Alligator mississippiensis: one gene and its partners. The protein of the gene in region 1 purifies or fractionates together with the protein of each later gene. This does not show direct contact. Links are inferred from orthologs where the notes say so. Each region holds a gene or a part of one and is shown in the gene's direction. Other genes may lie near its edges.

Evidence for each region.
Region 2: the proteins of PTP4A2 (region 1) and CNNM2 purify together in Homo sapiens (affinity purification with mass spectrometry; 4 studies listed by BioGRID and IntAct, counting the BioPlex papers as one, with this or other methods). This does not show direct contact. The link is inferred for Alligator mississippiensis from reciprocal best matches to the Homo sapiens genes PTP4A2 and CNNM2.
Region 3: the proteins of PTP4A2 (region 1) and RABGGTB purify together in Homo sapiens (affinity purification with mass spectrometry; 3 studies listed by BioGRID and IntAct, counting the BioPlex papers as one, with this or other methods). This does not show direct contact. The link is inferred for Alligator mississippiensis from reciprocal best matches to the Homo sapiens genes PTP4A2 and RABGGTB.
Region 4: the proteins of PTP4A2 (region 1) and CNNM4 purify together in Homo sapiens (affinity purification with mass spectrometry; 6 studies listed by BioGRID and IntAct, counting the BioPlex papers as one, with this or other methods). This does not show direct contact. The link is inferred for Alligator mississippiensis from reciprocal best matches to the Homo sapiens genes PTP4A2 and CNNM4.

Annotation. Positions count from the first base shown.
Region 1 is NC_081829.1:5,801,938-5,808,976, forward strand, and holds the start of PTP4A2 (protein tyrosine phosphatase type IVA 2), read left to right. Parts: upstream 1-4,032; 5' UTR 4,033-4,153; intron 4,154-7,039.
Region 2 is NC_081829.1:99,037,687-99,045,583, reverse strand, and holds the start of CNNM2 (metal transporter CNNM2), read left to right. Parts: upstream 1-4,885; 5' UTR 4,886-5,001; coding exon 5,002-6,553; intron 6,554-7,897.
Region 3 is NC_081828.1:22,511,326-22,519,046, forward strand, and holds the start of RABGGTB (geranylgeranyl transferase type-2 subunit beta), read left to right. Parts: upstream 1-4,704; 5' UTR 4,705-4,782; coding exon 4,783-4,785; intron 4,786-5,874; coding exon 5,875-5,982; intron 5,983-5,998; exon of another isoform or gene 5,999-6,242; intron 6,243-7,721. UniProt on the Homo sapiens protein: Catalyzes the transfer of a geranylgeranyl moiety from geranylgeranyl diphosphate to both cysteines of Rab proteins with the C-terminal sequence -XXCC, -XCXC and -CCXX, such as RAB1A, RAB3A, RAB5A and RAB7A.
Region 4 is NC_081830.1:10,489,277-10,496,425, reverse strand, and holds the start of CNNM4 (metal transporter CNNM4), read left to right. Parts: upstream 1-4,145; 5' UTR 4,146-4,273; coding exon 4,274-5,528; intron 5,529-7,149. Other genes in the region: LMAN2L (VIP36-like protein), read right to left, coding at 102-134, 965-1,047, 2,069-2,186, 2,495-2,613, 2,921-3,101. UniProt on the Homo sapiens protein: Probable metal transporter. The interaction with the metal ion chaperone COX11 suggests that it may play a role in sensory neuron functions. May play a role in biomineralization and retinal function.

The DNA of each region.
Region 1 (7,039 bases):
TCCTATCATTCAGCACTAGTGCTTCAAGCTCCCTGCAGACTCAGGAAGGTAAATGTGGACCAGTTCCATTGGGGTCGTGTTTTCAAGGTTTCCTTTGCAACCACAGCTGTTAGCAGAAATTGCTGAAAGGAAACAGAGATTGCTGCAGCAAGGATTGGATTTTGTGGCAAATCCCACAGCTGGGGGATAGTCGGGGCCGGTATTATACCACGCTTGTACCACCCTAAATAATTCTTCCCCTCGCTGTTGTTTACTCTATCAATGTATCTCCACAGTCTGCTTATGAGCTGAGAAAAGCACCTGGCAAGCTGCTGCATCCTCTTTATACCCTGCTCTTTTCCCGTGCTCTCCATCTCCCGTAATTGCTAGCTGCTGACTTCTAGCACAAATCAAATTGCTTTGTTTGGTAAGCAACATAAACCATGATTTTCTCCAGGGTTCACAGTCATTTGTTTTTTCTTCCTCCCTGGCAAGATTTTCTCCCAACAGTGACCATTATGTTGTATTTGGCTTTTGTGCTGCAATCATCTTGTGTTGGCTAACATGTGGTTTCATGTTTTTTATCACAGGTTACAGCACTGCCAGTTTCCTCCTGATCTCGCCTGCATGCTAGATGTGCTGCCGACACATAAAGATGCCTCTAAGAGCAGCAGGTAAAGAACTGTATGTATCTAACTTCAGACAAAGAAATGCCCCTCTTACCTGCCCTTATATTCTCTGCACGTGGGATCTCAACCGACATTATGTATGACACCTGCTGGGAGATGGGCAAGGAATACAATGGCTGTATTTCAATGAATGCAAAAAGCTGCGGCTTTGACTACAGCTTTTAAGAACTGACTTCTTGTTTCAATTATCAGTCATGACAATGCTTTCCTCTACAGTAAGGCCTCCAAAATTACTGAACAGAATGGATCTGCTTTAAGAGCATGTGTTTCGCATATGTCTCTGTATTCAAAGACATTCTGTGACCTCTCTCCTGCCAAAAAATGTTTCTAAACCGCAGCTATTTTTTGGATGCAACGTGGTTAAGAGCACAAGGTGGCATCACATATCCTCAGACAGGCATTGAGGAACAGCATCTCCAACCGAAATTGTTTAATGGAAGCAGGATGCAACTACCTGAGCTGGAATTTCTCTCAGACACTGTGTTTTTGGAATCAGATGTCCTGGATTCAGGATGTCCTGGATTCTTCCCTTGCTGTCCTGTGTAACGAATATAACCGTGTTAGCTGACGGGCCCAGAATCTTTTTAATTGCTCTGCTGCTGCCTACCATGGCCCTGTTCTGTGAATAATAAAAGGGAGTTCATTCTCCAGGACGGTTGTTCTGATGCTTCGTAACAGTACCACTAAACCGACTCATTCAGACACATGCCTTTGGCCTGTTGGTTGTGAACCAGCTGAATACATCCCCAGGGCCATCTGTGAAATGCTGCCCTGATGGAGAGGCAATGCTGTCTCTGAGCTGGAAGAAGCAAGCAGGAGATGCACAAAGTTTGATGAGCAAGTGTTTCTGAGAAGATGATTACTGCAAGATGAATGTGATGTTTTCATATACAAGAAGGGAGCCAGAGAGGCAGATATCTTTGCACCACTCTCAACTGCAGAGGGTGTGGTGAGGTCGGCTTCCCTGCCTCTGGTGTGGCTCCTCTCTTTCTCTCTGTCTCTCAGTCCTGCAAGGTTGGTTCCCACAGGAAGGTAGTTCTTCTTCTAAGACATTATCTCTAAATGAGCGTGGAAGTCATTACAAAATTTCATCGTCCTTGAAAATAACCCCATAGCCTTTTGCATATTGCTCTGTTCAAATCCTGGCTCCTTATATTCCTGGATTGTTTCCTGTGCTCTCCTAATAGAGGGGAATACTTGGGCTGATAGCCCAGCTTTCTCTGTCATTACCACTCTGGGCATCATAGTCGCATGGTGACCCACTTCCAGCACCTAAAACTTAAAAGACTAAGTGATTCCCCTCTCCTCTGTCTGGCAGAATTTCAGCAGCAGATATGGAGTCATGCTAATCTTTCTGTCATGCTTGGTATTTTCCTGCCATGGGCTGGGCTCATCACATCATTCTCGTTTTTCCACTTTACCCGAGAGGCTCCCAGTTTTACTTCCACGGGTTTTTTTTTGCAGGCAGGAATCCAGAACTCCCATTTCTACACAGCTGACAAATTAGCTGGATAGGGGAGGAAAGAACACAAAGTTCGTAGCATCTCAGGTGAAGCAAGTCCTCCCACGTAACCCCCATCTTATGCTGGGAGCCCAACTTACAGAAACAAGTTAACTTGTGCTCCCTCCATCAGTTGGTTGCGGCATATAACGGCCACCTCCATCTTCACCTACACTTGTGATTCCCAGCCAGGGTGCCTTGAGATCCGTTCAAGGGTGCCGCAGAGCATTAGCACAGCTAGGTGTCCAGACCTGATTCACAAGACCAGTTCAGAGATTTCCAACAGGACTTCATAGTTTTAAAAGCATTCTGACCTGCTGTGATCTTTCTGAGTTCTTTGCAAATAATTGCTCTATTATTTGTCTGTAGTCAAAAGATGAGCACAAACTACGAGCTGGCATTTTCCAAGGGGCCTCGAGTCTAACACTGGGTGCCTTGAATCTGAAAAGGTTGAGAACGACTGACCTACACTTTTCTTACGTATACAGTACGGCCGGCGCTGCACACAGTACCGGTCAGGTTCGAAAGAATATCCAGGTCCCTGCCCAAAGGGATGACAGCGGGTCCCAATCTTTTTGGAGTCAGGACTTCAAACCCACTTTCTGGCAGGCTCAAAACCACAAACTAACTGCCCTTCTGGGCTGAGTGCAGCCAGGGTAATAATCTGTGTGGTTCATAATCCCACTGGCAAGGGCTACGAACCCACTCGGGGTCATGACCCCTAGTTTGGCAACAGCCGGCCTTAAGGATTTCCAGTCTGCAGCTGAGGCGTTGGGACATCTGGACTGTGTTCTTCACTGTCCCCATGACTCGGCATCTGGCCTTGAGCAATGCAGTTCCTTCCCCCGCATAATGGGATTTATATTTCTGTATTCAAGAGCTCAGCTTTCAGGGCTGCAGGGACAAACTGTTACACCGGCACAGGACAGGAGTAACCCCGTTGTTACATCACTGACGGCAGCAGGATCCAGACTCCCTGCAACCTGTGATACCGCTAGTGTTCACTTCCCGCACCCCAGGCGAGGTAGCCCCCCTTCCCCGGGTGCATCCACAGTGCTTCTTGGCTCCTTTCGAACTCTGTTCTCTTATTGCAACCCCTCCATGGACACAGGAGAGCTGCACATGTGGCGCTGTGCCTGTGCCTTTCATGCACTGGGCATCAAACTGGGGCCTAATGGGACAGATCCCCGCCCAGGTCCCTATCCCTGCCCCTGGGGACACGCACAGAGCAGCAGGGGCTCTGGGAGGGTGTCCCCCGGCCCTGTGCCCTGCAGCAGTGACCTCAGCAAGCAAAGGTCAAGGCAGGGAAGGGAAAGGGGAAGGGGGGGAAGGGCAGGAAGTGGATCAAACCAAAGTACTGCTCTGCAGGGGGGGTATACCAATGCCAGTATGATGGGGAATGGAACTTTAAGGGGGAAATGGGCCATACCAATCGTGTGATGGGGGGGTGAATGGAGCATACTAAGGCTAGCTGAGTGGGGGGTTGGAAAGGAGAGGAAAAGGCGTCATAGGCATTCCAAAGGAGGGGAAATGGCTTGTACCATTGCTGCTTTGAGGGGGGGAGGTGGGTTCTACCATTCCTACATTGGGCACGTACCAATGCCAGCGGCGGGGGGGGAAGAGACGGGTTATACCATGAGGAAGGCGGTGCCGTGCGAGTGCTGCCGGGAAGCGAGCGGACCGTACCAAGGGCGAGGGGTGTCGCGGCGGGCCGTACCAAGCCGGGCGGCGGTGAAGGGGGGGCGGCGGGGCCCGCGGGCCGCCCCGTTCGGGGCGCGGGGGGAGGGGTGGGCGGCGCGCGCGGAGCCGTTGGCGCGGGGGGAGGGGCGGCGTCCCGCGCGGGCTGCGCCACGGGCGGCTCCCCCCGCCCCGCCCCGCCCGGCCCGGCCCGGCCCGGCCCGTCCCCTCCCGCCGGCCCGCGTGGGAGGCGCCGGCCGCTCGCTCCCCGCTCGCTCGCACGGAGCCGCCGCGCTCGATGCCCGGGGTGAGCCGCCGGGGCCCGGAGGGACGGGGCGGGGAGCGGGGCCTAGGCCGGCGGAGGAGCCCCGGCCCTTCACGTTCACCTCGGGCAGGTGGGCGCCGTCACCTGCCCCTGCCTGCCCGCCCGCCCGGCGCTGCCTCCAGGGGCGCGGCTGGACTTCGCCCGTCCGGCCGGCCTGTGGCGCGGGGCCGCTCCCGCCGGGCGGGCAGGCGGGCGGGCGGGCGGGTGTCCCCCCCCACCCCCCACCGCCACGGGTGTCCCCGGCCGCCCCTCCTCCGCCTGGGGGCGACTCCGTGGGTTCCTCAGACTTGAGGGATAATGCTCTCACTTACTGATTTGAAATAACGGCCGGGGGGCGGGAGGGCGAGCGAGCGAGCGAGCAGTCTGTTGTGTGCTAGGCCCGGCGGGCGGGGGGAGACGCTTCATGTGCCAGCTTTATACTTTGCCCACCTTTCCGTGTTCGCACGCTTCCTGCGCGAGCTTTGCCCACCTTATGCACGTCCACGTTTTTATTCGCGAGCTTTGCCCTCCTTGGTGCACGTCCAAGCTTTAGCTGCGGGCACTGCCCAACTTTAGCCGCGGGCACGACCTGTCTTAGCAGGATCGAGTCGGCAGCTTATTGGCCCGTCGAAGGTTCGGCGTCTCGGTGTCGCCGTTATTGTCGGAGGGGGTTTCGTAGCAGCCTTCAAGCCCCCAAAGGGGGTTGAGAGGGGATGGAGCTGGGCTCGGTGGCGGATGACAGGACGAGGAGCCGTGGGCTCGCGGTGCAGCGAGGGAGGTTGAGGTTGGATGTTAGGAAGTGTTTTCTCACGAGGAGGGTGGTGAAGCGCTGGAGCGGGCCACCCAGAGAGGGGACGGACCCTCCATCCTTGGAGGGGTTTAAGACCCGGCTAGACAAAGTCTTGGCTGGGATGATGTAGTTGGGGCCGGCCCTGCTTTGAGCAGGGGGTTAGACGGGACGTGACCTCCTGCGGTCCCTCCCAACCTCATTTTCTACGATCCTGTCGCCGGACGTGCATGCGAGCACCTGCAGAACCGGGTGACTTGTTTTTTGACACACGACATGCCGGTGGTAGATTAGACCAGATCTCTCTCTCAGCAAGCATCGTGACTGATAGTGACCACCGCCAGATGCTTCAGAGCAGGGTGGAAAGAATATTACAACACACAATTAATTAACTATCGCAAGCATGGAGGTTTTTCTATCCCCGTCAGTTAACAGTTTACGGCCTGAAGCGTGAGTGTTTACATATCCTGATTTTTATGTCTAATCCTTCATTTAAGCCCAGTTAGCTTTGCCTTCCATATCATCTTGTGGTAAATGAACTCTGTGATTAAATTGTGGTGTGGGGCGCATGACAGGTTTCTCATTAGTTTCATTGGATGTGTGCATTTGTGCGTTACAATTGTATGAGTAGAGAGGACTGGCTACTTCTGTCCTCACCTCTTGTTTCCATCCTTTCTATACTAAACCGTGCTGTTCTTTGCAGCCTGTCATACAGAAAGCCTGGAATAATTATTGTTGCACGTCCTCAGTGTTAACAGTTGCCTCCTCAGCTTAACCGAACTGTAGATGGAAGTTTCTGGTCTTAGATTGAATGTGGCTCTAGGTCTTTCCTGTCTCCAGTTACATTTTCTAGATGTACTAGAAAGTTATCCTAAGTTCATCAAAATGAGCTGAGTTTTTTCTTCCTGTGACTTTTCTGAATAATTCTCTTAATTGTGCAAAGCTGTCATTAAGCTGCCTGTCCACGTGATCAGTTAGTATCACTAATTTGAGAGACTTGTCATTTTACGTCTTACGAGCAATACCAATTTGTGTTGCCAAAGGAAATGGACACGGAGCTTTTGCTGTCTGCAAAATGCGGCACTTTGTGCAGTTCAAACATCTCAGCATCCTTATGTTGCAAGGGGCTGTTAAAACCGTCAGGCTCCCACACTTCGACAAAACTTCAGTTAGTTGTATCAAAGGTAACTACTGGGTTTTTGCAATTTAAACATAGCTCTGGGGATTGCTAACATGGATAATTTTGAACTCCTTACTGCTCTTCATTAGGTGGACCATTGCTTTGGGCTGTTTTAAGGCATTTTTATTTTTAGGGGCCCTAGTTGAAATAAACTGGAGACATGACTTAAACAGCATTCAAATGCTCCCCTGTGAACTGGTTTTGAGTACAGATGGATGTGGTTAAACCGCTTAAAAAAGTGCAAATTGAAACATTTCTCTTTAGCAAAAGGATGTACCTAATTTTCTTTGAAAACCCAAACTGAGTATCTGTTCATTTCCCAGTGTTGGATTAGCTAATAAGATGTTCTCTTCTATGTATTTGGTGTTGGTTGTAAATTATTTGACCTCACCCAAATTCTGGAAGGGAAGATGAGCTATTCCAGTCTTCACTGAAGTTTCAATGTGAGAACAGAGCCGCGCTGAGAAAAGCGTCGTCTTGGAACTCCTGACACTGCTTTTATTTTTTTATTCTCTCTTGCTGTATTTTTAAATTGGGAGTTTAGTCTCAGCAGTGAATATTTTTTCTTACTAATGCAAGCTGCAATCTGTTTTCTGCCTTGTTTTAAGGCCTAGGACGGTGTGACTAGGTCCAGCAAAAGGAAATGAATGAGTCATCAGCAGCAAACTTGTCAGCAAATCAGGAGGGAACTCGTAGGCGGGTGGATAGGGAGGAACAGTAGAATTTCTTGACCTCACCCCCCTCCCCATCTGCAGGCACGTGTCATTATGAACAAGCTTCCTTCAGAGATTAAGAATTTTTTTTTCCAAGAAACTGTGGAACTAGTAGCCTGTTTGCTATGCAGAGAGATGACATATCTTAGAGAGAACTGTCATTAAGCAAAGTCCTTCAGAACTCAAATTCACCCATTGTTTTAAAGTTG
Region 2 (7,897 bases), about 93 Mb from region 1:
GATAACGGGAGACTTTCCCGACTTGCTTCGGTGTCTGGAGACAGAGTAGAGAGCGTGGGCCTCTGAGTGCAGCATGTGCCAGCCCCAGGCATCTGGGCCGGAGAGGCGATGGAGCTGGAGTCAGGCTGCAGAGCCAGGGGCAAGCTGGCGGATGATTGCCTGTTGGCGTGCAGGTCCCCCCGTTCACGATGTTGGGAGGCTGAAGGGCCTGGGGCTGTCAGAGGGGGAATGGAGGTAGGTCGCACTGGGTGCCAGCGTGAGCTGGTCTCAGCTGCTGTCTAGCTAGGGCACATGCATCAGAAGATGCATCCGATAACAAGATCAAGGCTCGGGGCCTAAGATTCCCCTTCTCCTCCCCTGCAAACAGACGCCCCAGTCGTATCCCCCTCCTGCTGTTATTCGCAAGGACTTGCTCAAATGCCGGCACCCTATCCTGGCACATCTACTGCAATTAGTTCTTCTTATCAAAGGAGATCTTCAGGGTGCGAATGAAAGAGCGGATTTAAGCTTTTCCCCACCTGTGAGCCACTTCATTAAAAAGCCATGAAACCCTGCCCGAGCCTTTCAGATGCCCCAGCAGCTCCAGCCGGGGGTGGTCCCCCATCCCAGCATGCATACGTGAAAAGGCCACTGCTAAATGCCAGCGAATTTGCATGACTTTGTTTCCACGGGCTCTTTGCATTTTCGGGAGAACGGAGAGGAAGTGCTAACAGGACTTTATCCGTCTTGCATTGTCACCTCCGGCATTGCGCTAGCGGCTCCTCCGCTGGGAATGGAGGTGACGGCTCTCCGGTTGGAGCTCTTTGGGGCCACGAGCCTGCTGCACATCTCAGAAACTGTCACGAGATCGTTACCCAGAAAGCAAACCTGGCCGCTCAGCTTCTCTCTTAGGAGGTGCCGTAGCTGTGCTCCTCAAAGCGCCCCGGCACCATTCACCCCCTTCCCAGGGCGCCGGGTGCTTGGGGCGCTGCTCGTCTAATTCAGAGATACGGGAGTAGCCAGCAGGCTGGAGCGATTCGGGGTGCTGCAGACTTGCTGTGGCATCGCGGTTAAGTTATTTAAGCTTTCTGTGCCTCTTTTTTTTTTAAATGGAGATAACGACACTTACCTCCTCCGCAGGGGGAATTGCAAAATGTACTGCTCTCAGGAAACAGGAGCATCTTCAGTGGGTTTAGCACATGCTTTTAAAGGCTCTCCTGAATCAGGGCCTAAAAGTATTTTCATAGCATCATTGAAAATGAGGGTGGGAGGGAGCTCAGGAGATCACACCTAGTCCAACCCCTGCTCCAAGCAGGACCGGCCCCAACTGCATCATCCCAGCCAAGGCTTTGTCTACCTGGGTCTTAAACACCTCCAAGGATGGAGACTGCACCACTGCTCTGGGGAGCCTGTTTCAGTGCTTCACCGCCCTCCTCATGGGAAAGTTTTTCCTAATATCAAAACTTAACTTCCCTTGCTGCAACCAGAGACCGTTGCTCCTTGTTCTGGCACCTGCACTGAGACCAGCCCAGCTCCGTCCTCTTTGCAGCCCCCCTGCAGGGAGGTGAAGGCTGCTAGTCAATCCCCCTCGGTCTTCTCTTCTGCAGACTCAATCAGCCCAGTTCCCTCAGCCTCTCCTCACCAGTCCTGTCCCTCAGCCCACAACCATTTTCACTGTCCTCCACTGGACTCTTTCCAACGTGTCCACATCCTTTCTGTCGTGGGGGCCACAGCTGGATACAGGACTCCAGATGTGGCCTCCCCGGTGCTGAATAGAGGGAAGCATCACTGCCCTCCATCTGCGGGCAATGCTTCTACCATTTCCAGACAATGAGGGTGGAAGGGAGCTCAGGAGGTCACATCTAGTCCAACCCCTGCTCCAAGCAGGACCGGCCCCAACTGCATCATCCCAGCCAGGGCTTTGTCTAGCTGGGTCTTCAAAACCTCCAAGGATGGAGAGTGCACCACCTCTCTGGGTAGCTTGTCCCAGTGCTTCACCACCCTCCTCGTGAGATTTTCCTAATATCCAACCTCATCTTCCCTTGCTGCAGCTTGAGCCCATTGCTCCTTGTCCTGCCATCTGCCTCCCGCCCCGAGAGCAGCCCAGCTCCATCCTCTTTGTAATCACCCTTCCGGTCATTAAAGGCTGCTCTCAAATCCCCCCCAGTCTCTTCTGCAGACTAGCTATGACTGCATGCAGAGTGACCCCAGCAGAGAGCACGAGGAGGCTCCGAGTGTTCCCTAGTGGGAGATACAAAGAGCTCGTCCCATTGATGGTAATTCTTGGCATATAACTCCCGGCCTAATTTGACGAGGGAGGGACCCTGGGCAGCTGAAGCCTGGGCCCTGCGCTAACTAGCCTCCATCAGAGGAGCGGCTCTCATCAATATTAAACGCTCGGCCCGCAGGAGCGCAATAGGCAAAGAAATGTCATGTTGGGTGCGGGGGGCCGCGCGCGCAGCAGGGAGGGGAGGGGGCCGCAGCAGTCGGGAGCCCGGAGGTTAATTTTTAATCGCCTCATTGTCATGACACGCACACGCGGGCCCTGCTAGGTTTGTAATAGAGCTGCAAAGTCAATCATGACGGCCAGGGAGGGCTGCTTCTCGGAAGAAACTCATCCCTGAGAGATGGCTGGCTCCCAAACGCAACCTTTCCTGTTTCTGCCGCTGGACATTGGTGCTCCGTACTCCAGCAGAGTCTTTCCCTGCGGCTCTGTACGCCCCTCGCAAAGTAAGCCTTCCGACCCCCTTGTCGCTGCATCGTTTGCTCACGGAGCTGGCGCTGCTTAGCAAGAGGAGAGGAGCGCTGGTACCATGAGAGCCTCGCTCCTCTGGAGCCAGGCGCAACGGCAAGGCCGGGCAATGCAATAGGTGGCTCCAGGACTGCAAAGCAAACTGCTCCCGTGCGGCTCATTGCCACGGCCTCCCTTAAGCCTCCATCCCCCTCTATACGGCTTTGGACGTCCCGTCATCTGTGTTTTCCCTGCTGTTCAAACCACAGAGGGGTCTTGAACAGCAAAACCCCTTCAGTGGAGCAAAGGATGAGAAGTTATCTGACAGTTTGAATGAGTTGTAGGGCAGCTGTCCTGACGGGAGAGCAGTGATGAGCAATGACATGGGGGATAGAGAAGACCGAGGGGGATCGAATAGCAGCCTTCACCTCCCTGCAGGGGGGCTGCAAAGAGGATGGAGCTGGGCTGGTCTCAGTGGGGGCAGATACAGGACAAGGAGCAATGGGCTCAGGCTGCAGCAAGGGAAGTTGAGGTTGGATATTAGGAAAAACTTTCTTACTAGGAGGGTGGTGAAGCACTGGAACAGGTTACCCAGAGAGGTGGTGGCGTCTCCAACCTTGGAGGTGTTGAAGACCTGGGTAGACTTGTCTGGGATGCTGTAGTCGGAGCTGGTCCTGCTCTGAGCAGGGGTTGGACGAGATGTGACCTCCTGAACTCCCTTCCAGCCTCGTTTTCTCTGAGTCTAAGACACCGAGGGGGAGGCTGGGACAGGAGATGAGCCCACCGCATTGGGGTTTGGACTGGAGCTGATCTGCCCCCAAAGTGAACGGCTTCGGTGCAAGCTCCCGCGCCTGGCCCTCTGCCAGGGCACGTCGGCAACGCAGGCGGCATCTGAAGTCTCATCTGCTGCCAGAACAAATGTTAAACCTCAGCCCCTGGAAACAACGCACGGCTGGATGTTACCCAGGCAGTCACGTGTAGCCAGTGTCCTCGGAAAATAACGTTTCCTATGATCTACTCGATTCAAGCCGACGCTGCATCCAGGGACCGAGCGCCAGCGCAAATTCAGGATTTCCTGCTTAACTTCCCTCTCGCCAGCAGCGCTTGGAGGAAATAACTCGCACTTCACCAGAAACATACTTACGTGCGGACGTAAATATATATATATATATATATATATATATACGTACACCTCAACATATGCGAACTATTCCAATAGGCACATAGCTTTAAATACCCAAGTGCACATTTGAATATGTTAAAGTCCATAGTTGAGCATGCAAATGCATGCTTAAAGTGTATCTTTAAATATATTTAAGTGTAAATATTTAAGCATGTATTTCAATACATTTAAACATATATTTCAATACATGCATACATCTATACACACACATGTGTGTATATACATGCGTATATATACATATATACACATATATGTGTATATATATATCCATATATATCCATATATTAGACCAACTTCAATAGTTGGAAAACAATTTTTAAGCAACCTTTATATATATATATATATATATATATATATATATATACACACACACACACACACATATATATACACACATACACACACACATATATATACACACACACACACACGTACGTGTGTGTGTGTGTGTGTGTGTGTGTGTGTATATATATATAAAGGTTGCTTAAAAATTGTTCTCCAGCTGCTGACGCCGGTGTGCTGAAAGCTGTGGGACTCGCCCGCACAGCCGTGTTTCTCTGTAGATAAAAAACTATTTTTGCAAAAAAACATGAAAAGAAAAAAGTCGCCTTTCGGCTGGGAGGGGTGGGGGCGGGGCTTCCCGCGGGCCCGCCCCCCGAGCGCGCCCCGAGCGCGGCCGCCAGGTGGAGCCGCGGCTCCTTCCCGGAGCGCAGCACCGCCCCCTTCCCCCCCCCCCCCGCCCCCGGCCTTGTCCCCCGTCAGCCATTGGCCGGCCCCGCCCTCCCGCCGCCAGCGCGGCGCGGCCATTGGCTGCGCCGCCTGCGGCCCCACACGCGGAGTCACGCGCGGCGGGGGCGGGGCCGGCTTGCGGCCATTGGCGGCTTGCGGCGGCGGCTCCGCCCCCCGGCGTCGGGGTGGGCTGGGCGGCGCGCGGGGCCCGGCAGTCGGCGCCCGTCAGCGGCCGCAGGCGGGCGGGCGGGCGGGCAGGAGCTGCAGCGCCGCGCCGCGCGGGGGGAGGGGGCCCGAGCGAGGATGCCGCAGCGGCCGCCGCAGCCGCAGCAGCCGCCCCGCGACGCCCGGCCGCGGCGGGGCTGAGCCCGGAGTCAAGATGGCGCCGGGCCGCAGGGCGGGGGGCGGCCGGGGGGCGCTGCTGCCGCTGCCGCTGCCGCTCCCGCTGCTGCCGCTGCTGCTGCTGGGCGGGCACTGCCTGGGCGAGCAGCTCGCGCCCGGCGCCCTGGCCTCCCCCGCCGCCAGCGCCGCCGGCCCTGAGGAGACGGTGATCATCGGGCTGCGGCTGGAGGACACGGACGACGTGTCGTTCATGGAGGGCGGCGCGCTGCGCGTGAGCGAGCGCACGCGGGTGAAGCTGCGGGTCTACGGGCAGAACATCAACAACGAGACGTGGTCGCGCATCGCCTTCACCGAGCACGAGCGGCGGCACCGCGGCGCGGCGGCGCCGGGGGCCGGCCCGGGGCCGGGTGGCGGCAGCGGGAGCGACGGCGGTGGCGGTGCCGCCGGCGGCCCCCCGGCCCCGCAGCGCTGCGGCATCCGCACGTCGGACATCATCATCCTGCCGCGCATCCTGCAGACCCGCCGCACGTCGGGCATCATCGAGATCGAGATCAAGCCCCTGCGCAAGACGGAGAAGAGCAAGTCGTACTACCTGTGCACCTCGGTGGCGGCGCCGCCCGGCGCGCTGGGCGCCGCCGAGGGGCCGGGCTGGACGGAGACGACGTGGATCTACCACGACGGCGAGGACACTAAGATGATCGTGGGCGAGGAGAAGAAGTTCCTGCTGCCCTTCTGGCTGCAGGTGATCTTCATCTCGCTGCTGCTGTGCCTCTCGGGCATGTTCAGCGGGCTCAACCTGGGGCTCATGGCGCTGGACCCCATGGAGCTGCGCATCGTGCAGAACTGCGGCACGGACAAGGAGAAGAACTACGCCAAGCGCATCGAGCCCGTGCGGCGCCAGGGCAACTACCTGCTGTGCTCGCTGCTGCTGGGCAATGTGCTGGTCAACACCACCCTCACCATCCTGCTGGACGACATCGCCGGCTCGGGGCTGGTGGCCGTGGTGGTGTCCACCATCGGCATCGTCATCTTCGGCGAGATCGTGCCGCAGGCCATCTGCTCGCGGCACGGCTTAGCCGTGGGCGCCAACACCATTTTCCTCACCAAGTTCTTCATGATGATGACCTTCCCGGCCTCCTACCCGGTCAGCAAGCTGCTGGACTGCGTGCTGGGCCAGGAGATCGGCACGGTCTACAACCGGGAGAAGCTGCTGGAGATGCTGCGGGTCACCGACCCCTACAACGACCTGGTGAAGGAGGAGCTCAACATCATCCAAGGGGCGCTGGAGCTGCGCACCAAGACGGTGGAGGACGTGATGACGCCCCTGCGGGACTGCTTCATGATCGCCGCCGAGGCCGTGCTGGACTTCAACACCATGTCGGAGATCATGGAGAGCGGCTACACCCGCATCCCCGTCTTCGAGGGTGACCGCTCCAACATCGTGGACCTGCTCTTTGTCAAGGACCTGGCCTTCGTGGACCCTGACGACTGCACCCCGCTCAAAACCATCACCCGCTTCTACAACCACCCGCTGCACTTTGTCTTCAACGACACTAAGCTCGATGCCATGCTGGAGGAGTTCAAGAAAGGTGGGGACCGCCGCCGTGCATCGGAGGGGCGGGGGGCATGAGGGGCGGCCCGGTTACAATGTGTGGCCGAGCTGGCCTAAGAAAAGAGGGCTGCTACCTTTTTTGGGGAGCTCTTTCACTCTGCCGTCTCCACTGGAAGTAGAAGTGGAGCAATTTGGAGATAAGCACCTGTCTGTCGCCTGATGTGTGCACCTGGTGATGGCATGTGTCTGTTTCCTGTCAAGCCGGGGGTGCATGTGTGTGAATGCAGTCTTTTTTGGCTGAATGTTTTTTTGTGTATCTGTATTCATCCGCCGGCAGGTACTGCCATGGGTCTGCACCCTCCGTGGTGGCATCTCCAGCCCTGTAGGCTGGTCGTATGTCGGAAGAGGGGCGGGTGGGTGATATAGGTCACGAGCGTCTTGCAGGCCGTTTGCTCGCGCACATGCACGTGCTGAGATCAACAAGGCTTTTGAATTCCCGTCACCAGTGCAGCCGGGCTCGCTCTGCCTGGTGCATGCTTGTGTGCAGTTCGCGGCTGTCCTCATTGATGCTTCAGATCTGTAGCTCGTGAATAGCTTTGGGGCTTTTTTTTTCTCCCTCCTCCTTAACCATGGGCCTTACAGTTCACTTCTAACTGATTTGCTAATTACACGTGCCGGCGTTACAGACCTTCCCCTCTCCTCTCGTTTTTGCCCTGGCAACCACAAGCTGAGCCACATGTCGATATGGTTTTTTCTGTATCTGTGCACTCCCTGCTGTGTGGAGTAGCATGCGCTTTGTTGCCTAACCAAAACTGGACTGTGGTTTTTGTGATGGTTAGCCTGGGGCTTTTCAGTTTTTCCTTGGTTGGGGCGTAAGGGGAAGGGTGGGAGGGTCTCCTGGTAGACGCCTCTTAACTTCTCATTGTGCGTTTTTTATTGTTGCAAGCAATCGTTCAATAACTCTAAAACCTGTTCCTCTCTTTCAGCTGCAGCACGCAGGGAAACCTTTTCAAGGGGTTGTATGCAAGGGGTGGGAAGATGCTCCAACCTTGCCCATTTTGTGGGGTCCCGTGCTGGGAGACTCGGAGTAGTCTGCGGTGGGGGAAGTTTATCATGTCCTCGTTCAAAGTACTGTAGAAAAGTTCAGTCCCCGTGAGAGCCTTCCTGAAGGAGGAGATCTTTACCATTGTATTAACACCACAGCCAGGTAAATGGGGAGTATTTGAGTTAACCTTTTCTCAAGGTAACTCTGACACTCGGGTGAACTTTGTAAACTGCACTCAAGAGTTCTTCTGTGCAATAAAATTTGTAGGCTGTGTTTGATCTGCACGCTAGGCTTTGAAGGGCTCTCTCTGGTTGACCCACTACTAATTTAACGGTG
Region 3 (7,721 bases), on another chromosome or scaffold:
AAAATCTCTGCTTTTGGAGTTTAGTGTATATGGCTTCAGCTTTTTGCCAGCAGTCATGTATCTAATTTGCAATATAATTCAAGATAATAAGAGTACTGGAAAGCCCCAAAATATTCTACAAAGTGAAGGTCACTTATCTATTTTGAACTCTCACTTTTTGCAGTTATATTGTAAAAAGATGTGCTACGCTGCCAATATACCACCTTGGCAAGGGGCTAGGAATGAGCCTTTTGTTAGCTCCGTAGTAGCTAGGGAGGAGGATATTCTCAGGGGACTATTCCTGCCAATTTGTAGGCTAGATTATACTAATGGCATACATCTCTACATTGTGGTGGTCAAGCTATTCCAAAACATTTTTTTCTGCTTTTCTATGCACTTGGCACCGATTCAAAGTGTTCTTAAGTTGTCACAGCTACAAAAATCAAAATTATCCAAAGGAAGAAACAGAATAAGGAAAAACACAGAGAACTACTACTATATTATTGCCAGTACCCCTATGTATGGTTTTATTAAAGAGAAGCTGGACAAGTTGCAAATTACCTACACAGATTGTGGAACACCCTCCTTGGGTGTTTTTAAGAGCAGTTTAGACTGGGCATGACAAACTCATCTGTACCCTCCCCCCAACCAGCCTTAACAGAAGCACTGTGTTCAGTTTTGAGCACCCCAGAGCTGAACTACATGGAGAATCCAGAAGAGAGCAAATAAAAATTACAGTAAAATCTTTGTTATCTGGCATTTAAGTAACCGGGAATTCTATTAACTGGAATTACTGGCCGGACATGAGTGGGCACAGGGGAAAGCTTGCACCTAGCAGTGCCTCTTGGGTCTGGGGGGGCACCCAGGGTCCCCCCACGGCTGATTGCTGAGCCGGGGGGGGACCTGGCAGACCTGGAAGTGGACTGGCAAGTACTTCTGGTCCACTTCCGGGTCTGCCGCTGAGCACACAGGGCCCCCTGCTGTGCTCCTGTGGGACACTCCATCCACCCCACCATCTTAGCTTTCGTGAGCCGTGCCTGGTACCTCAAACTATGTAGAAAAAACATTTAAAGCTGTGTCTATGGCCAAATTGCTGATTCTCCGAATTGGCATTGAATCTTCAGATTCAGATTCGACTGAATTAAATCGGGACAATGATCCAAATCAACAGATCGAATCACTGTCCCCCAATTTTCTTTCCTACCCTAAAGCAGGAGGCACCTGGAGCTGACATTTCTTTACTGTTGCTGCCAGGTCCAGTAAGGGAGTTGAAGCTGACTGGGTAGGAAGCTATCTCAGAGTAACCTTGCTCTGTTCCTTGGGGCAAGTGGCAGCACTGGAGACAAACTCGGGGCTCTCCTGATGAAGAATACTTGGATTTGAAAGCTTGTCTAACTATTCCAACCATGCAGATGGTCCAGTAAAAGATACCCCCAAAAATCTTTGCCTCTCACATAATTCCTGGACCACGGGCAAATCGTGCTGCCTTAGTCAGGGGTGAAGGGACCCGTGGGGGGAGGGGTTCCCCTGTGGCAGATCTCACTGCCCAGGGGGAGTTTCCCCATTGCAGCTCTCAGAAGCCACATCAGTTCTACGTACTCCCTATAACTCTTTTAAGTACCCCTAGGGGTATGTGTACCCTCGGTTGACAACCACTGCTTTAGAAGATTCATCAATCCAATTCACTTGGTTAACCATAACATGCCTGAAATTCAGTTAAACTTTTAACTTGTTGAGTCACACAGGCAATGGAAAAGGAAACAGAATGATTTCCACCAAAATGCTTTGAGATTGCTTCTTCTTCCCACTTCACAAAGCTGTGCATTCTTTTAGAGCTTGCTCTGTTGGGAAATCTGTGAGATTATTTAGTGCTTACTTGCCTTACAGTGACTTACATAATCTTGTTTCTTGTACATTCAGCATTTGCAGTCTGTCATTTCTTCCATCAGTCCAAACATAGAAATAGGTGTGGCAGAAACTGCTGAACGGGGCAATTTCCTTTGAGATGTTTAGTTCAGTGACAGATGTTTCTTGATCACATTCTCAGATGCCTATTTACTTAATTTCTTGGACAGATTCTTTTGAGGGTGATTCATTATTATGGCAAATCACCAACTGAAATGTAATATCCAAAGTCAAAAGTACTGATGGGTCTGTTTAATTTTTTTTGCCTTTTGTGCTTGATGTAATTCAAAGAGGAGAATCTATTCAATCTATAGTGCAGGTAACTGACTTCCTTGTGTGTTTTAATCTTGTTATTACAAATGATCTAGCTGGAGAAAGTCCATCATGCAAAGTTATTGAAGTGATGCAGATAGGGAAACACAACATTCATAATTCACATTTAGCAGACTTTCCTTTCTTGGCACAGCTCTACATGCTACTTTACATTTTATATAAAATTTTTCATCCTGACTGGTCCCTGAGTACTTTGCAAACTTATAATCACATATCTTTTTATCCTGTTTTGAGAGTGTGCCCACTTTTGGTGTATAACACACAGACAGCTTAATAGTACAGTTGCAATAATCAGCATTTTATTCTAGCAAAGGAAGAATGCCATTTCCTTCTGAGACTTCAAGAAAAATATTGCAAAAAAATATTGAAAAATCTTCTTTGCATCTTTTCTGGTCTAGAGTTCTGTGTTCTAATACAGACTTGCCAAACTGTGTACAGGCAGTCCTCGACTTAGAACTTTTCGAGTTACGTTTCGCACTTACAACATTTATAACTTGACACCCTGTTTCAACTTTATGATGTCAGTTTTGACTTTATAATGCTTGATCCGATGCGACACTACGCCAGCGAACAAGTTTGCTGCGTTGCTCATCTCCCTGGAAAACATCTGTCCAAACTTCCTTGGACACTTTAAGAAAACAGACAAGACTCCAAAAAAACCTGCAGCCAAGACTTCTGAGAAGACTTCAGCCAAGAACCCTTCAAAAAGTCCAACCAAGAGCCCTTCAAAAAGTCCAGCAAAGTCGCTTCAAAGAAGTCCTTGCAAATCAATGATTGCTATTTACAGTATAAATACATTAATGTAGCTATATTACTCATATAATTGATCGAGTACAAGATTCTGGGGTATTTTTGGTGAAAATAGGGTATCGGGCCTTGGTTCAGGAACCAATCCCACATTTATAACATTGTTTCTTATGAGAAAATTGGTTCTGAGTTGCAATGTTTTGACTTAAGACGTGGTTTTCAGGAACCAACTGCGTCCTAAGTCCAAGGACTGCGTTTTGACTTAGGACACAATTGGTTCCTGAAAACCGCATCTTAAGTCCAAGGACTGCCTGTAGTTTACTGTGTTGAGAGATTGCCCAACAGAGTGCACCAACACTGAGAAAACTAGAGCAGCAAATCTGCAGATTCTCATTTCTTTGCACATAACTGTTCAGCTCTTATTTGATTCACTTCCTCAGCTAGAAATTCTATAGAGCAGGGGTTGGCAATGTTTTTGGCCAGCGTCAAAAATTCCCCAACTTTTACCCATGCCTCAATTTGGTGTGCTGGAGGCAGACAGCAGGGGAGCTGCAAGGGGCTTTCTTTGCCATTTCTTTGCAAGCTTTCGGATACCTGCGCCCTTCTTCAGGCTGAGGAGAATTCAAAGATTGTAAAAGTTTTAGGTAGAAAAGAAATGTCATGTCTCCATGGTGCAGGGGTTTAGGTTGTAGCCGTGTTGGTCTAAGGATATAGGCAGAGGAACCCAAGGAACCTTGTCTGCCCATGTCTCCATGGTGGAATAGAAGCCAATATGGAAAATGTAGGTCTGTGGAAATGCAAATACATGACAGTGAGGATCTGAGGGAATGGGAGACAATAAATAGGTGGGGGGAAAGGAGGGGAATATTGTTGGTAAAATGTCGTAGAGGTTACCTAGGGTTATCGGACGGCAGGCGGATTATAATGCACCATAAGTCCAATGTCTATACTTGGTTCATAATTTTTTGTATCCGGTAGATTGAAGTGAAGTTTCTAGGCTCATGTGCAAAAAGTGTTTTGTAAATTCTGGAGTACTTTTAAAGTGAATTAAAGCACGCTAAACTCAGGTGGGATTATGACATATCATCAGGGTGATAGCAGCAGCCTGAACAGATGACAAGAGATGCCAAGGAAATACCAGCCTTTAAAAGAGCAAAGGCCCCGAGAGCACGGCCCCAGTGGGGCGGCAGCACAGGACCCTGAGCCATTCCTACAGCTGAGGAGGCAGGGTGTTGCCTGCGGGTCCCCTTGGCAGTTAGCCCCGGAGGGCCCTGCCACAGGTTCAAATGGAAGCAGGAAACCAGCCATAAGGCTGCACTTTTTTAAGCACTAACTTTGTCGCCGGTTTTCTTTTTTTATAACTGGACGGCCGTGTTGATCCCGCGACAATACCTCGCACTGTGCGGCCCGTCCAAACGTATTGCCTGATTAACCAAGTCATCGTATAACGGCTGTAACCGGGACTGAAGGGCCCGCTGCTCTCCCGGCTGCAGAACTGGCGCATCACGGCTGTGACGCGGCGCGGGCGGCCTCCTCCCACCGCGCAGGCGCAAAACAATAGGGCGCGAGCGCCCATGGGGCGGGGGGCAGAGTCATCTGGGCGCTGCTGTTTTGCGCAAGGCAGCTGGGGTCCTCGTGCGGCGCTCGGGGCAGGCAGCGCGCCAGCCACCTCTGCTCAGCAGCCGGACTCCGCCCCACCCGGCAGAACCCTGGCGCTGGTGCCGCTGTGCAGGCAGCGCCGCAGACACCTCTGGCGGGTCCTGCGCGGGGGCGGGCGGGGGCGCCGCCTCCTCCCCTGGGCCCACGGGCGCCGCCGACATGGTGGGTTGCTCTCGCCGCCCGCAGCGGGCGCGGCCTCGTCCCCTGGGCCGGGCTTGGCTCGCCGGGGCCGGGGCCTCCGCTTCCCGGGGCGAGGGGGCGCTTCCACGAGGGATCTGCCCCGGTGGCGGCGGGGAGCAGTAGTGCGGGCAGGCGTGGGGGGCGCGGTGGCCCTCGGGGAGCGCCTGGGGATTCATTTATGGCACGTCTGCCGGAGGGGTTCCCCCTCCCGCCTTGGGCCGAGTCCTTGTTCCTGTAACTGGAAGAGGCGGTGACGGGAGACGTGACCGCTTGGGCGGGGGAGGGGGGGTGTCTGGGGAGGGGGGCGGGGGAAGGAAGGGGACAAAACGAGAGGAGGTGCGGCCGTTGTGGCTGCTTCTGTTCTGTCTTGTTGAAAGCCACTATCAAAAACGTTAGGGCGGGGGTCAGCTACCCCCACCACGTGCCAGAGCAGGGGACGGAGGCCATTTTGGTCCGCACATCACAGCCACCTGGCGCTGGGCGGTGGCTGCCGGCCGCAGAGCAGAGCAGGGGCTGCTTGCAGCAGGTGGTTGGGAGGCTGCAAGGGTGGCTGGCAGCAGGTGCAGCTCTGGGTGGGTGGCAGGGGAGAGGCCAGGCTTGCATTGCTGCAGCCCCTTCTCCATCTTGTGCCCAGAGGCCCACATGCAGCCAGTGCTCCAGAGCCCAGGGCAGATGTTTGCAGTCTGCCACAACTGCCTAGAGCCCAGGCCGGCTGGGGCAGGCAGCCAGCCGTTCGCAGCGGGATCCAGGGGTCCAGCACCAGCTCCCTGCCAGGCGGTGGCTACACGTGCATCTCGTGCGCAGGGCAGGGCAGGGCAGTGCAACCCTGCCCTTCCCACACAGTCTACCCAAAGGCATGTGCAGCCACCGCCAGCAACAAGGATTGGGCCCTTCATGGCTCCCCTGTGATCTGCCCCTGGCATCCCAACCCTGGCCTATGCCTTGACTTGGTGTATTTTTAGCACTCTGGTCAAAAACATTGCTAACCCTTGTGTTAGATGGTAAAGACCTTACCCGCTTACCCGGTAACAATTCAGAATTTGATTTTTATTTTGCTTTTTTGTTTTTTAGGGGACACCACAAAAAGATGTTATAATAAAACCTGATGCCCTAAGCACACTGCTTCTGGAGAAACATGCAGACTATATAGCTTCCTATGGAACAAAAAAAGATGACTATGTATGTAGCAACTGTTATTTTTCCCATTCTCTTAGAAATGCTGCATGTTGCCCTTTCTTGAACGGACAGGGTGGGAGGCTTCTTGTGTTATGGTGCAAAAGAGAGAAGGATTTAGTTTTGCATAGTGGTAATGGTAGTTTTCCTAGGTCAGTGATGAGCCTTGGCATGTATTATCTGACTAAAGTTGAAGATTACTGCTTTAGCTCTAGAATTACTCTGAGACCTGGGAAATGTACTAATTTGCTTACTAGGCTAAATAGGTGAGTGGTGAAAAAAAACTTGATCTTAAATGTGTTTTATTCTATCTACTGTAGCAAATCTCTGTCCAAAACTTGCTGGCTTGCTAGATTTAATCTGAATTCGCTAGAAGATTTCAGTTCTAGTTTAAAATTGGTATTTCTGATCATAGCTGAAATTTATCTTATGCCAGATGCATACAGCAAAATAAGTAATATATAAACAACTATAAAACAAATGCCATATGAAAATCATGGGTACAGGTGACTTGAGAAGGATTATAATAATGGCTTCAGATAAATGCAAGATTTTTCTTTTACTGTTCCTACTTTGTGTTTCTTTAGTTTTGGCAGTTAGCAGCAATATCATTCATTGACTGCTGAGGGAGCATTTGTGGAGGTAATGTAAGCAAAGGACCTTTAGCCAAGAAAATTTTAGCTAGTGGTCTGGGCCAAGCTTGTTGCATAAGGATGGGTAGGTAACTTAACCTTGTGCCTTAGCCATTTGAGATGGAAAGTTTAGGGAAAGTTAGCTGTTGAATTCATGGCTATATTTAGTAGGAGTGTACCAATAGAGATTTTGGGGGCCAATACCAATAACCAATATTTATGAAGGTGTATTGGCTGATTCCAATCAGATTTCCAATACAGATGCCTCCAGCTGGTAAGCCTGGTGTGATGGAAGGGATATGGGGCAGGGAGCAGATCAATGCCCCTGGCTCTTGGGGGAAGGAGGGACGGCTCCCACCACTGCTTGCACCCTGGGAGGGCACAGGGACGTGTGCCCTGTAGATCTGTGTGGGGTGGGCTGCAGCCAGGGCTGTGCGGGGCTCTTCTCAGTGGGGGGCTGGGCTCAGAGTGAACGCTGGTGGCACTGGGAGGATGCTGCACGCACTCCATATTTCACTGCTGCTCTGTTCCCAGTGCTGCCAGCCACCCAGCACAGCCCTTGCTCAATGCCTTGCCTCCACCCACACGCCAGGAAGAGCTGAGGCAGTGCTGGGAGCGGAGCGTCAGCAGAATTTGAGGTGGATGCAGCATCCTCCCAGTGCTGCCAGCACCTCCTCCGAGCCCAGCCCCTGCCGAGAAGAGCTCCTCACAGCCCTGGCTGCAGCCTGCCCTGTGCAGATCCAGGGGTTCATGCCCCCCCACCCTGCCATCATGGCGTGCAAGCAGTGGTAGGAGCTGCCTTCTTCCCCCCCCATCAAGCTGCAGCCCTGGCTCATCTGGGCAGCACCTGCCCCTCCCTCACCACGGGGGGGGGGGGGGGGCGTGCCCACGCGCACGTGCGTGTCCAGCATCCCTTCCCTTCTCACCTTCCACTACACTGGACTTAACAGCTGGAGATAGCTCTCCACGTTACTAGCTTTGCTTCTTGCTTCCTGAGTGCTGTACTGTGGCTGTGTGCAGCACAGGCATTTATGGGGCCAATATCCATACAGCCATTTTTCTTTATATCAGTACCGATCCGATATCGGACCAATGTATTGGTGCACCTCTAAT
Region 4 (7,149 bases), on another chromosome or scaffold:
ACTCCCCCCTCCAACCACGAAAATCAGGGAAGCCACAGTCGCATGCAGGAGAGGCTGAGCACTGGTATAGCCCTGGCAGCTGCCCCCCCGTGAGTGGGTACCTGATTTCCAGGGGTATAGCGCCTCTTCTGAGCCTGAGTCCCCAGGGGGAGTGCAAAGCAAAAGAGGTACAGAAGCGAGACAGTCACAAATCTCAGACCCTCCAAGAGAGGCCATCTCAGGAAATGCAGAGCCAAGGAAAGCTGCCCTAGCCCCAAGACCCTGGCCACGCTTCCTTGGGGGTCCCTTCCAGTCTGTGGAGCCAGGCAGGAACCTGAAAGGCTGGATCAGACTCAGGCTGGGCTAGGAGAAGGGTTCCCAGTTCTCCAGAGTTGCTGATCTGTGCGCTGAGGTCAGAGGCAGCCAGACCCCAGGTCACAGAGAGACAAGGGATCCTGCCACACACTCCTGGACAAGGGCCTTCCTGGAACCAAGTGATACCTTTGTTTGGGGCAAAAAGCAGCCAGAAAGATGCCCCTTAGCTCATGGATTCCCTTCCCTACTGATGCCCCAGAGAGATCCAGACTAGAGGACAGGCCCATGCTAGAGCAGAGCTCAGCGCATGATGGGATTCAGAGGCCCAGGAGGAGATCCGAGGTGCTGGCACAGGCAGTGGGAGTCCAGGATGTGCCTCCAGAGTTGAGGGCTCTGTACTGCAAAGCGGGCTCTACCACTTCCCTCTTCCCAGCCTGGCAGTATCCCCTGCCCTCAAGGGGTCAGCACTCACTCTCTCTTCTCCCCCAGCTGGCAGCCATGTCTATGTCTGTTGCTCTTGCTCTGAACATAGAAGGGGCCATAGATGGCCACCACGCATGGACAAAGCATCAGAGGAGGCAATGGGAGAGAGAAACTCAGGAGAGAGGCAGAGGGCCCCACAGGTGCCAAAAGCCATAAGCCAGCCAGGTGGCCTCCCAGTGCCCCTCACCTCCTGCTGCTTCTCCTCATTGGGATATGTGTCCACAAACACGCCCAGCCCCAGGAAGTTATCCTTGCTCCCGAAGACGGGTCCTGCACGAGGGGGGAGGGAGAGAGAGATTGTCAGCCATCTGCCACCCTATGTCGTTCTGGACAGGGCCCTGAAGTCACACCCCGAGGGTAAACCAAGTCACGAGCCCCATCAGGAGCCACAACCCAGTTCATCCACCTGACACGCAGAGAAGCCTCCACTCGGCAGTGGTAGCATTCAAAGGCCAGTCAGACCACGTGGCTGAGGTCAGTGACCCAACCTGTACTGCTTAAGAGAGAAGCTGTACCCTGGAGGCACATAACCCCACCAACTCCTGTCAGTGCTCTGAGCATCCAGAGCACAGAGTAGCCACAGGGGGTCCAAAGCTGCAGAGTCGAGGGAAGCAGTGGACTCTCCATCACTGGAGAGATTCAAGGAGAAGTCAGACAGCTGCTGGGCTGGGATGATCTAGGCATGGCAATGCCTGTGTTCTGCTATGGGGCTTCTGGGCTTTGCTGGTTGTCCTCCCTGCCCCACGTAGCAGCAGACAGGGCGGGTTTAAACCTTCCCCAGAGGTACTGGGTGCTGGCTGCAGCCCAGGCTGGGAATGGGGACTGGGCTGTGGCAATGCTCCTGCTGGGACTCAACCCTGGGGGTTCCTGGCTGGAGAGTCTTGCTGTCTGCTCAGGCTCAGACTAATGCTGCATTGGGGTCTCCCCTGCTCAGACTGGTACAGACTGGGAGGGCTTTGCCTTCCTCTGTAGCGGGGGCATGGCTTCTGCCTGGGATCATTTATCATCTGTTAACCACCTTTTACAAGACGGTGGCTGCCCTGGTCCCCCTGTTTTCCCTGCAGCAGGGTCAGGACCGATGTCTGGTGTGGCACCAGGGCTGATGATTATTTTGCGGAGAGTTTAGATGATGGACATGTCTGGGAAGGTTTGGACGGGGCTGCCTCAGGCAGGGGGTTGGCCCAGCTGTGACCTCTGCCGGTCCCTTCCCGCCCCACTTTTCTTGTGAGTCTACAATTGTCTCCCCATGTTTCGCCACCACCTTCCTCAAAGCCACTCCCTGGGCTAGCACCTGTCTGCATGCGGTCCTTGGTGTACCAGAGGGCGAACCCATCGCCGTTGAGGTTCTTCTTGCCCTGGCCATGGATCTTGAAGTGGACCTGCATCTCCCAGTCCCGCAGGTAGCAGGGCTGTGAAGTGGAGAGCATAGGCATGGTCAGGGGCATGTGGATACCACAGGCCCAATGCTCCCTGGCTCCAAGGCAGGTCCCTTGGGCATCACGGCCATGCAGCCAGCACCTTTACACCCCAGTGTCTGGTTTCCTCACAAAGCAATTATCCCCCAGCGAAGCTCATTAGGAGCAGGGAGTCCATTAGATCAAGGAAACAAAGGGAAAGTGAAGGGGGGGGGGGTCCTATTCCTCCCTGCTCTGCATACCGGCCCGAGTCCAGGCTAGAGCTGACAGCCAGCCCCTTCATCCCGCGCTGCAGCACTCACCACGCGGTTCCAGACGGCGCCCTGCCGGCTCTGCTGGTCAGGCGTCAGGCGGATGAACTGGGTCATGACCATGGCGTTGCCCAGCAGGTCCCAGAGCGCGGAGCTGGATGAGCCCACGCCTGGGGGCAGGGAGGGAAGCATCTGCACCCACTGTGGCCTGGGGGGCAGTGCCTGGCTTCCCCCAGCACTGCGGGCTCAGCCCCCACCCTGTGACCATCTAGCTGCCCCCCAAGTGCCCTCAGCTCCGCCCCTGGGAAACAAAGGCCCGCCCCCACACCCTCAGTTCTCGCTTGGGGGCCGCAAGCCCCGCCCCTTTACCCTCAGTTCCAACCTGGGATCCCCTAAGCTCCACCCCGTCATCTCAAGCCCCGCCCCCAAGCCCCCCGTTCTCCCTGGGGGGGGTCCTAAGCCCCGCCCCGCCCCCACCCTGGTATGGCTTGGTGAGCGAGTGCTCGCGCTTGAAGTGCTCCTCGGTCTGCTCGGCCCGCGCCAGCACCAGCGTCGCCAGTAGCAGCGGCAGGGCAGGGGCTGGGGCCAGGCGCAGCCCCACACACCGCAGCCGGCCCTCCGCCGCCATCTTGCCCGCGGCCCCGCCCCGCGCGCTCATTGGTCGCCGGGGCGCCCGGCCTCCGCCGTCATTGCCCCTCAGCCGCGGGACTCCGCCCCCCCACCAGAGCGGTGCACGGCCATTGGCGGGGGGCCCGCCATCCCCACGCTAGGAGGGGAGGGGCGCTGCCGCGGGGCATGCCGGGGAATGGAGTGCGGATAGGCACTTCCTGTCTCGGCCGGCCCGTCTTAAAGAGCTCGAGTCCCCTCCCCCCCCTCGGGAGCCGGCGGCGGGTGGCGACAGAGAAACAGTTGCCGGGCAACCCTGATGTGAGGGGGTGGTTGCCTAACAACGGACGGCGTGGTGATGGTTGCCGAGTGACCCCCCCACCTGCCTTTTGCCATTGGAGAGGGCGGCTTAGGTTTGACATGGCAGGTTGCCGGTGACCCTGGTGTCAGTTGCTGAGCAGCGGTAGGGTCGCAGTTGCTAGGCGACCCCTGGTCCTGGTGGCATGGTGACGGGTGCCGTGGTGTCAGGGCTGTGGTCGCCTGGCGACGGGAGTAGCGGGCTGGTGGGGATGCCCGGGTGATGGTGGCTTTGCGTTGACGTGGTAACAGTTGCCAGGTAACCCCGGTGATGGCTGCTTAGCCACGCCATGGTACTGGTTGCTGGGCAACCCGCTCCCCACCCCCCCACCCCCTCTCCGGGGTACCGGGCAGGGGGTGCTGCCTGTGACAGCAGGGTTGAGGCGGGGGCAATGGCCCAGCGCCGCCACGGCTCCTCGGGGCCGCCTGCTCTGTTGCCACGGCAACACCATTCCGGGTACGGCACCGGTACAGCGGGGCGGCCCGGCCGCTCCTTCCCCCCCGGCCCCGGCCCCGGCCCCGGCCCCCTGCCGCGGATCGATCCGCCGCCTCCAAACAACAGCGCCTCCGGCCGCGACTCAGCTCCGCCCCCCGCATCAGGGCTGCCGCCCCGGCGGCTCTTCCCGCCCCTTTCTCGGCGGCGGCCCTGAGGGGGCGGGGCGGGGCCGGGCCGGGGGGGCGGGGCCGGGCCGGGCGGGCAGTTGGCGGCGGCGGAAGATGGCGCCGGGCGCGCCGCGGCGGGGGTCGCGGGGGCGGGCGCGGGGCGCCGCGCTGGGGCTGGCGCTGGGGCTGCTGGCGCTGGCGCTGCTGGGCCGGGCGGCGGGCGCGGCGGGGCTGGGCGCCGCGGGGCCGCCGCGCGTGGTGGGCATGCGGCTGGAGCCGGAGGCGCAGGCCCCGGGCCTGGCGGCGGGCGTGCAGGTGGGCGAGGGCAGCCACGTGGCGCTGCGCCTCTTCGGCCTGGGGCTGCCCGCGCACACCTGGGAGCTGGTGGCCTTCGCCGAGGCGCCGGGCAGCGCCAACGCCTCGGGGGCCGCCAACGCCACGTGCGCCGCACCCTCGCCCGACGTGGAGGTGGAGCGGGGCACCTGGGATGCGGGCGAGGCCTCGGCCGTGCTGCGCCTGCGGGTGCGGGCGCTGCGCAAGCGGGAGCGGGCCAAGGCCTACGTGCTGTGCACGCGGGCCGCACCTGGGCAGCCGTGGCAGCGCCATGCGGGCGCCGAGGGCCGCCTGGTGGTGGTGGAGGAGAAGCGGTCTCTGCTGCCCACGTGGCTGCAGGCAGCGCTGCTGGCGGCACTGCTGGCACTGTCGGGCATGTTCAGTGGGCTCAACCTGGGCCTGATGGCGCTGGACCCCATGGAGCTGCGCATCGTGCAGAACTGCGGCACAGAGACAGAGCGCCGCCACGCCCGCCGCATCGAGCCCATCCGCCGCCACGGCAACTACCTGCTGTGCTCGCTGCTTCTGGGCAACGTGCTGGTCAACACCACCCTCACCATCCTGCTGGAGGACCTCATCGGCTCCGGGCTGGGCGCTGTGGCTGCCTCCACCGTGGGCATCGTCATCTTCGGCGAGATAGTGCCGCAGGCCCTGTGCTCGCGGCACGGCCTGGCCGTGGGTGCCAACACTGTCGTCCTCACCAAGTTCTTCATGCTGCTCACCTTCCCACTCTCCTACCCCATCAGCAAAGTGCTGGACTGCTTGCTGGGCCAGGAGATCGGCACCGTCTACAACCGGGAGAAGCTGGTGGAGATGCTGAAGGTGACAGAGCCCTACAACGACCTGGTGAAAGAGGAGCTGAACATGATCCAGGGGGCCCTGGAGCTGCGCACCAAGACGGTGGAGGACGTCATGACGCCACTGCATGACTGCTTCATGATCCCCGCTGAGGCTGTGCTGGACTTCAACACCATGTCAGAGATCATGGAGAGTGGCTACACCCGCATCCCCGTCTACGAGGATGAGCGCTCCAACATTGTGGACATCCTCTATGTCAAGGACCTGGCCTTCGTGGACCCTGACGACAGCACACCGCTCAAGACCATCGCCAAGTTCTACAACCACCCCGTGCACTTCGTCTTCCACGACACCAAGCTCGACGCCATGCTGGAGGAGTTCAAGAAGGGTAAGGGTGCCACACCGTGCCAGGGCAGGCAGGCGGGCAGGCAGAGGGTTTGTGGGGGGGGGGGTGTCCTGGCCTGGGGTCACTGGGGTCAGGCCTGGTCTGGGTTACCAGCGTCTGGTCTGGCCTGAGCTTAAGCTGACTGTGGCCCAGCCTGGGGTAACTGGTGTTGCTGGAATCGGATAACTAGGGCAGGCCTGTTCTGAGCTACCCTGGGCCTGGCCTGGTCTACGATAAAGCGCATCTGTCTGGACTAGTCTGGCCGGGCCTGGGGTAACTGGACTCTGGCCAGCCGGGGATTGTCCTCCCTCTAGATGCCTGGCAACTCCTGGGCAGGCCCCAACTCCCTGCTGGGGCTCTAATGAGGCAGGGACCTGGTACCTGCCCAGGGCCGGGGCAGCTCTGGCTCCGGCTCCTTAGACCCCCGAGTGTCTCTGCTGGGTGCACCTGTCGATTCCTGGGCTGGGAGGGGGGAATCTCCCTGGGCAAGGTCTACCCCACTCCGGCCCATCCTTCGGCTCCAGCCAGGCCTGGGTCCAGCCCCCTGAGGGTCCATGCCTCAGCCTCTCCTGCATGCCCTAGCACACCCGAAAGTGAAAGTGCAGCGAGGAGAGATAGGACTGACTTCCCTCACCCCGGAAGTAAAAGGAGCTAGAGGGGGTGGGGGGCAGGGAGCTGTTAGGGGGTTAATTTTGGGGGGGGCTGACAACACAACTGATTTTCCCCCCTAACCAGACAGTTGCTGTGCTTTGATCTGAGCCTGGGGTGGGCACCCTGTGGGCTGTGGGGTGGGAGCAGGTTCTTAGCCCAAACTTGCTGGGGGTCAGTGATGCCCCAGCCTGTGCAGGCTACATGATGTGGCGTGGCCCTGGCCTAACCCAATCCCTGGACTGACACCCCCCCCACCCCTCCCCAAGGAAGCCATGGGTGCCAGCCATGCCCAGATTTCAGGGTTCTCTCCCCAGGGTGTTTCCCTGCTGGTTGGGGTCAGGTTGAGGCTGGCTTGTTTCAGGGATATGCTGTTCTACTGGCTCAGGTCTACACTTGCCCACTCCAGGCAACATGCTTGTGAGAGCAGCCAGGTCCAAAGGTCCTGGCAGGCACCTGGGAGCACCACCCCTCAGGCCCCCCCCCCCCCATGGTGCGGGCACAGCCGGGCAGCAGCCTCCACCCCAGAGCAGCTGGGGGATGTCCCTTTCTGGCCTCAGTTTCCCTCTTCCCAACTGCAAGGACCAGAGCATACCTGGCTGTGGGGGGCACAAAAAGGGGAGGGGGTGGCAGCTGGCGTGGTTCTGCCCATGGTGAGCTCACTTGCTATGAATAGCCCCACAGTTAGTGTGACTTAAGCTGTAATTATGGGCGTCTGGGTGGCTAGGGGGGTGTGGGGGGGGCATCCGCCCCAGCCTGGCAGGGCTCCCATAGCAGTTTGGAACAGGAAGTAGAGCAGAGGGGCTTGATGGGTTCCTTAGTGCCTATGGGGGTGGAGGCAGGGGGCTTTGCCTTGCCTTGCAGAGGGGGCAGTCAGTGCAATGCCCTGCAAGACCCCCAGTTAAGGGTCCCCATCAGCCAGAGGAGGAAGCCTGGGGGTGGCTGCAGCCTGGCTGGCCCTGACCCGCACAGGGAG